2 linked regions of the Sus scrofa genome follow. The protein of the gene in region 2 interacts with the protein of the main gene of each other region in a biochemical or structural test. Links are inferred from orthologs where the notes say so. Each region holds a gene or a part of one and is shown on either strand. Other genes may lie near its edges.

Region 1 (3,909 bases), on a different chromosome or scaffold from region 2:
TCCAGGATCATGGAAGGCACACACGAATACACGGAGAGATGTGCAGGCACACACAGAAGCCGGCTGAGCTACTCACACACAAAGACACACACAAAGGCACAGGCAGGCATACAAACTCACCGGCCCACCGAAATGCACATTCAGACACACTTCCAAACACAGCAGAAAAAAGCGGACACATACATATGTAATCACACAGGCATACAGAGATACCAAGACCCTCACACAGGCGACATTTGCACACACAGCAGAGGCACACAGACACTCAGACAACACAGAGGCGGACAGCACGCATGGATCGCCACGGCTACACATCAATGCCCTCACACATGCACAGAGACGCGCGTTCGCGCACCCAGACCCCTGTCGGCAGACCCCGCAGCCTTGGAGCACTTCCTCCTCCTCCTGGGACCAGGAGGAAATGCTGCTCTAGGCCACACTCCAACCCACATGTGGCAGGCTTGCAGGCAGGGCCTGGGAAACTGGCTTCCCACAAGAGGAAATGGTGCCGAAGCCTCCGCCAGGTGCCCGCAGCTGGGCTGCGGGCGGTCCAAGTGCACGGCTAGGAGGATGGTGGATGGGCTGAAGAGACAGCCACATGCCTTGGGTTTTGTCTCCATTAGTCACACACACGTGCGCACACACACACACACACTTTTCAAGAGTACACATAAATGTGCACCAGGCAGAGGCCCTCTCAGAACGTCAGTTTCTTCATCTGTAAAATAGGGTTTCTAATTCTTTCGCCCTTGAGGATTATGGGGATGGCATAAGGTGGCACGGGAAGGGCCAGACCAAATCGCTGCTGCCCTGGGGAGGCTGGGTCTGCAGTCTCCGCAGAATCCGCTAACGTCAGGAGCCCTGTTGGCAGGCGTGGGCTCCACACCTGGCTGCCCCCCATGCAAGGTGGCCGGCCTGGAAGCGCGGGAGCGGAGCCGCGGAGCCCTCTCCGCGGCCCGCACTGGGTGCTGCCCGGGTCAGCCGGCGCCCCGGGCAGCAGGCTCCGGCAGCCAGGAGGTCCGCGTCGGGAGCGCCCCTTCCACGCACTGCGGGCCGGCCGCGCTCAGGTTCTCCCCGCCCGGCGGCAGCCCGCAGGCTCCGCTCGGCGCTCCGTTCGGCGGCTCCCAGGGACTTGGGTCTGGGCGGTGGGCGGGGCGGGCCTGCAGCCCCGCCCCATTCGCGGCCCCTGAAACCCAGCCGCCGACAAGCTTCAGTCCCAGAAGGGAGCTGCTGTCTGAGGAGGAAACTGCATCTTCGCGGGCCAGCTACGAGAGGATCTGGGGTCGCGCTGGGCGCCCGACGGACCCTCCCCAGGGACTCGCCTGCCCCACACCGCCCGGCCTTGCCCGGCGCTCCGCGTCAGGTTCCCCAGCCGCAGCCTTACCTACGGGCTCCAGAATCCTCAGGGCTTCCAGAGGATGCTCAGCCCACCGACGGGGACCTCGGGGCAGCAGTGAGGGGGCACCCAGCCCCCCATTCAGCTCCTGTCCTCTTGGGCCGGGGGCCTCCCCGGGGGGAAGAGCATGGTGGTTTTCCCTTGGAGCCCCCTGGCTTGGTACGTCTGAGCAGATGCCTGCCATGAGGCTCTTCACTTGCTTCCTGCAGCTTCTGGCTGGGCTGGCACTGCCGGCTGTGCCCCCCCAGGTAAGACCCCCATCCCCAGCCTGGCTTCCCTGATCTTCCCACTCCCAGTACTGGGAACAGGGGACTCTGAAATCGCAGACCCTCTCCCGGGAGCGGCACCTCCAGGGATGTCCATACCCTTCCTAGGAGCCAGGCTGGACCGTGTCCCCTGGGAAGAGACCTCAGGCTGCGCTGTCTCAGACTCCAGCTTTGGGGTCTGTCTTGGCGGGGGCAGGGAAGCCACAGGGAAGGGAGGGAGGTTTCCTGTCTGGCCCCTGGAGCCCTGGTGGCTTTGCTAAAAGCATCTCTCCACTAATCCCAGGCGGGTCCCTGGCCTTGTGGTCAGGGTCGAGGCCCCATGACCAGGCAGGCGCCCCCAGGACCTCTGACCTGGCCTGATGGAGAGGAAGCTGACTGAAGAGGCCAGTGGTGGGAAAGCTGGGCCCTGCCCCACCAGGGCTCTGGGTTGAGCCCAGGACTCCTGGGTGGGCTGGGGGCGAGACAAGGGTCCCACTGTGCCCTCTTTCCCGGGTGGGCAGCCGGAGGTCCTGAGTGCAGGGCCTGGGGAAGTGAGCAGGGCCCTTTTCCCAGGAGCTGGGTGAGTCTGGCCATGAGCCAGCTTGGGCAGTGAAATCCTGACAAAGCCAATGAGCTCCCTTCCCACTGTGATGTCCTGCTGCCCTGGGAGTCCCCAGCCCCAGCCCAGAAGTGGGTGGGCCGGGCTGTCCCTCGGGGGCGGAAGAGCCCTACCACCGCCTCCCGCCTGCCTGCTGCAGGGCTGGTCAGAGGTGTAACTTTACCGGCACACTGGCTCATGGCGCCACCGGCTCCAGCGCCTCGGCTCCCACCAGCTGATCACCGCCCCCTGGGCTCTGGCACCCAGCCAAGGCAGGCTGCACAGGGCCCAGCAGGGCTGCCTGGGGGCGGGGTAGAAGGGAGACCCCAAAGAATCCCGAGATCTTTGGGACACAGCAGGCAAAGTGTCTCCAAAAGCTTCCGGCCTCCTAGCCTTTGCAGATGAGGAAACTGAGGCCAGAGACAGCGGTAGGACCCACCCGGAGGAGCCAGCTCCGAGATGGGATGGAGAGTGGGGGCAGCGGGTGGGAAGCGGCACAGAGGAGCCTCTATGCTCTTCCACTGGGCCCCAGTGTGCAGCCAAGGTGGTCCCCTCATCTCTGCACCTTTCTGTCCGCAGCAGTGGGCCTTGTCTGCTGGGAACAGCTCATCGGAGGTGGAAGGTAAGCCTGCTGGGGTGGAAGGTGCATGGGGGGGAGTGGTTGGTACACAAGCTCACAGGGCCCTCATCCCCCAGGCCTCTGCAGAGGCTTGGAAAGGATGGCATGAAGGGTGCGTGCAGCCTGATGTCAAGCTGGGGAAAGTCGGCAAGCTGGCTGATGCCCTGGAACTCAGACAAAGCTGGTCCCACATTGAGACCCAGAGGCTTAGAGAGGTATAGTCCTGGGCCAGGGTCACCGGGCACAGCAGGGCTGGGCCTCATGTACCCAGGGCTCGTCAGGTTGGCTCAGAGCCCCTTCCCAGCATGTAATGTGAGGGGACAGATGTGATACTGGAGAGCAGCGCAGGCAGTGAGTGCCAAGGACCAGACTGGGGGTCCAGGAGATGTGGATGCAGTGGGCAAGCAGTCAAGAGGAGCAGGGAGGGGCCAGAGAACCTTCCCAGCAACCCAGCCCTGGAGGAGCTGCAGGGATCTGACCCGGCCTTTCCATTGATTACAAACAGACATAATGAGTCGCACCCTCCCTCGCCCCCCCACCCCGCGGTTGCATCAAGAGGGAATCTTCAAAGGGTGAGACATTTGCCAAAGAGACAAAAGTGCAGAAGGCAGGAGGCCCGTGCCAGGCCCCCCTGCCTTGCTCCTCCCTCCCTGCCTCTACGAGACGTGCAGCCAGGCCACACACCACTTCCCACGGAAGAAAGGGAGCATGTAGGGACGTGCGCACGCACACTCGTGGTAGCCTCTGCGAGCTGGGAACACCCTTCCCCTGCTGCCTGGTAGCCAGCCTCTCCAGGCTGAGGCCCAGGCCCCTTGGGCCCTGAGAAGGTGGGGACAGCAGCCATCCTTGACTTCACTGACACCCTCTCTCTCCCTCTGCTGGGCCTTCTGGGACGGGCACAATATGCTCTTTGGGTTTTGGGGAGGGACCCATCACCTATGCCCACCCCATGGCCTTTTTGATGTTTTTAGTATATTTTTAGTATACTTTTTAGTATATTTCAGACAACAGCTACCCAAAAGTCTGAGCCTCCATTTCCTCATCGGTAAAT
Region 2 (3,809 bases):
TTAATGCGCCGACAACAACTTTTTGTTGTTGTTGTTACAAAAGACAGTCCCTGCCTGGTCCGGAGTGATAAACTCCCCTCTCATCTCTCAGTCCGAGAGAACAGTTTCCAAGGATGAAAACAATCCCCTTTCCCACCCAGAATCATGGAACAGAAACACCAACCTATACAACTTCAAAACAAAGCCCCCAGACATCAAAAGGCCGTATCTTTGCGTATCACGTTCACAAGCACCCAAACCAACCCCAAAGCTTCTTTATTGGCTCAAACCACCACGGGAGTCAGAATATTCTGATTTTTTCCCCCACCTCGAAAACGCAGTGACACTGCCTTTGCTCAAACAAAATACTGTCCTACAGAAGCAACAGGGTCACTCACTTCCCCGGGGTAACTCCAGGTCATCTGAACTCTGGTGTTCAAGGGCGTGGTGGCCGTGCAGTTGAGGACGAGAGTGTGACCTCTCAGCAGTCTGACGGGGCTCGGCGTGCTTATTCGGACATCTGTGATTGTGTTGGCTGCAAGCATAGCAAGGTAACATTTAAGAAAAAAATCGACGTTTCATGAACTGGATAAAGCCAGGGGCACTCCGGCTTCTGGAAGATCACTTACTTTGTCGAAGCGTGAGGTAGTTTGTCTTGTACAAATGTCCGTTGATGGTTGTTTCACATGTCAGCAGCCCTATCTCTTTGTATGTTGCATTGGATATTATAAAACCCCTCCTACTGTCCCAGGTGATTCTCTTTCCGTCCAGCGTATCAGGTGGAAACTGGAAAAGGAAGAAAAGCATTTTCACAGAGTCGTATTAGCCCTGTGATAGAAGCGTTTCCCTACTTATTCACTAACGCTCTGAAAATGTAGCTGTTACCGCACATGAGAAGGGTGCGGGAAGAAGCTTCAGTCTGTCATCGTCGGTTCGTTAATTTGCTCTGCATGGAGCCACCTCCACGTTGACTCTGATGCATTGCAGTCAACATGCTCGTCTGCTAAGAACCTTGGCCGAAAGCTGCAGCCACCGAGGAGAGGAGAGACCTCCTCACCCGTCAGAGCCCTCGTGGGAACCCGGAGCTCTGGGCCCTTTGTAACGAACTGGCTCAGGAAACCAATCAATGTTTTGCTGTTTTTCCCCTTAGGGCTGCCACTTCGTCCTCACGGTCTCGTCACCAGGAGCTTTTAACAAGCCACACATTCGCCTCCCATTTTGCCTGATTTGTTAAAGAGGCAGCTGTCTTGGAGTTGCCGCTGTGGCACAGTGAGATGGGCGGCATCTCGGGAGCGCTGGGATACGGGTTTGATCCCTGGCCTGGCACAGTGGGTTAAGGATCCGGTGTTGATGCAGCTGCGGCTCAGGTGGCAACTGCAGATATGCTGTGGCAGGGGGGGCAAAAAAAAAAAAAAAGAGGCTGCTGTCTTAAAAGGACCATAATTCTAGGTCCTCTGCAGTCCATGGCATTAACTCGGCACTTACTGCCGTTATCACTCTGGGGAAGACTGAGGGTGTCGACCCTGCCCCTGGGAGGGAAAGTTCCAGAAGCCAAGGCTGCTGACAGGGAAGAGAGCCGAAAGTGAATGTGAGGCCAGAAACAGTTACGAATGCAGTGCCCCCCAATTCCTGGGAGTACCCCCAAACAGAAGAATCCACGATCTGATTCTCCGACTATGCCTCTCCTCTGTACCAAGGACTCAATTCAAACCATCTCTGGTGGGATTAGACTTTGTAAAGGGTCACTGCCCCTAGAGCGGCCCAGCCAAGTTCCCCTGATGGCAGACTGCCAGCCAGTTTGAGTGGCAGTGGTCTGATGACTGCTATTGTTTATCCCCAGTTGGAAAAAGCGGGGGGAAAATCAGATCACTTTCCCACAACAGATTACCAAGCTTCACAGCATCAACTGCTATAAAGAAGTTTCGAGTCTTTTGTATCTTCTTTTAAAAAGTACACTTTGGAGGGAGTTCCGTTGTGGCTCAGGGGTAATGAATCAGACTGGTATCCATGAGGATGAGGGTTTGATCCCTCGCCTTGCTCAATGGGTTGGGGTTTTGGCGTTGCCATAAACTGTGGTGGAGATTGCAGTCATGGCTTGGATGTTGCCATAGCTGTGGTGTGAGCCAGCAGCTGCAGCTCCGATTTGACCCCTAGCCTGGGAACTTCCATATGCCACAGGGACGGCCCTAAAAAGTAAAAAAAAAAAAAAAAAAAAAAAAAAGTATACACATACACACACCCCTCGGAGTTCCCGCTGTGGCAGTGAGTTAAGAATCTGAGTGCAGCCACTTGGGTCACTGCAGAGGCTCGGGTTCAATCCCTAGCCCGCAGTGGGTTAAAAGATCCAGTGTCACCAGGGCGACTGTCCAGGTTGCAGCTGCTGCTCAGATTCCATCCTTGGCCCGGGAACTTGCATGTGCTATAGGGGCAGCCAAAGGTGCATGGGTGCAGCCATGCATCCATCACTCTATCCATTTATCATTTATGTTTACTGCTTCTGGAAGCAGACAGGGATGTATGGTCCTACGGCAGAGATTTCTATTCCCCCATGGGTATGTCTGCATTGGTACATATCGCCAGAGTGCAACTTGGGTTTGAGATGAATTGCATCCTATCTATGGAGAATGGAAAGCAATCAAAGGATGCATGTCGTTTTAGTAAATTAGGATTCTATCCGTAAACTTAGGAACCCTCCGCAGTCAGTGGGGGTGGGGGTGGGGAACCTTGTCTTCTAACTTGACAAACTATTAAAGGAAAAACTCAGAAAACTTCAAGCCAGGGATCGAAATCCATGACACTATAAAAACAGGTGAAAGCAAAAGCAATGTGCTGAATCTCAAAGACAGACTGGCTGCCAACTTCTCTGTGCGACTTACAAACACATGGAAATCTCCTCTGCAGTGTTTCCCTTACTCACCTATGCATTCCTGCCACTGGCTGTAGCCACTGAAAAAGGAACTTGATTTCCAGCCAACAGGAGCTAAAACAGCAACAGACTAGGTAGCTTATCAGCTGGGGCAGGTGCTGTATGTGTCAGAGGGGGGCAGACAGATGGGCAGCCCTGAAAGGCAGTACCTACAGGGAGGCTCTCGCCAGCTGAGCAGGGCTCCGCCAGTGCAGGCAGGGGAAAGGAGAGGAGGGGACAACCCGTTAGGAAAGAAGGGACAGTAAGAGAAATGGAAGGGAAAGATAGCAACTTCATACACGTGTAATAGGTTAAGTTTTGGGTGTTTTTGCTGTTGTCGTTTTTTTTTGTTTGTTTGTTTTTTTTTTTTTTTTTTTTTGGCTGTGCCCAAAGCATGCAGAAGTTTCTGGGCCAGGGACTGAATCCGCACCACACAGCAATGACAATGCTGGATCCTAAACCACTAGGCTACCAGGGAACTCCTAGGTTAGAACATTTTCAATAAATATGTAATAAACCAAAAAAACCTTAGAACTTTATGCTTCTCTGCAAAAAGAATGTAAATATATATATATATATGACTGAATCATCCTGCTGCGCGGCAGAAATTGGCACAGCACTGTAAATCAACTCCACTTTTAATTTTTTAAAAGTGAAAAAAAGGGAGTTCCCATAGTGGCTCAGCAGAAACGCATCTGACTAGCATCCGCGAGGACTCAGGTTCCATCCCTGGCCTCGCTCAGTGGGTTAAGGATCTGGCCTTGCTGTGGCTGTGGTGTAGGCCAGCAGCTGCAGCTCCAGTTCCTGGGTCCTAGCATGGGAACCTCCATACCTGCAGGTGCGGCCCTGAAAAGACCAAAAAAAAAAAAAAAAAAAAAAAAAAAAAGAGCAACAAAAAAAGAAAAGTGGAAAAAACAGAAAAACA

The links.
Region 1: the proteins of FLT1 (region 2) and PGF are reported together in a solved structure, tested with the Homo sapiens proteins (2 studies listed by BioGRID and IntAct, with this or other methods). The link is inferred for Sus scrofa from reciprocal best matches to the Homo sapiens genes FLT1 and PGF.

The regions. Positions count from the first base shown.
Region 1 is NC_010449.5:98,160,051-98,163,959, reverse strand, and holds the start of PGF (placenta growth factor), read left to right. Parts: upstream 1-1,195; 5' UTR 1,196-1,569; coding exon 1,570-1,644; intron 1,645-2,818; coding exon 2,819-2,861; intron 2,862-3,909. UniProt on the Homo sapiens protein: Growth factor active in angiogenesis and endothelial cell growth, stimulating their proliferation and migration. It binds to the receptor FLT1/VEGFR-1. Isoform PlGF-2 binds NRP1/neuropilin-1 and NRP2/neuropilin-2 in a heparin-dependent manner.
Region 2 is NC_010453.5:5,739,518-5,743,326, forward strand, and holds part of FLT1 (vascular endothelial growth factor receptor 1), read right to left. Parts: intron 766-3,809; coding exon 609-765; intron 515-608; coding exon 378-514; intron 1-377. UniProt on the Homo sapiens protein: Tyrosine-protein kinase that acts as a cell-surface receptor for VEGFA, VEGFB and PGF, and plays an essential role in the development of embryonic vasculature, the regulation of angiogenesis, cell survival, cell migration, macrophage function, chemotaxis, and cancer cell invasion.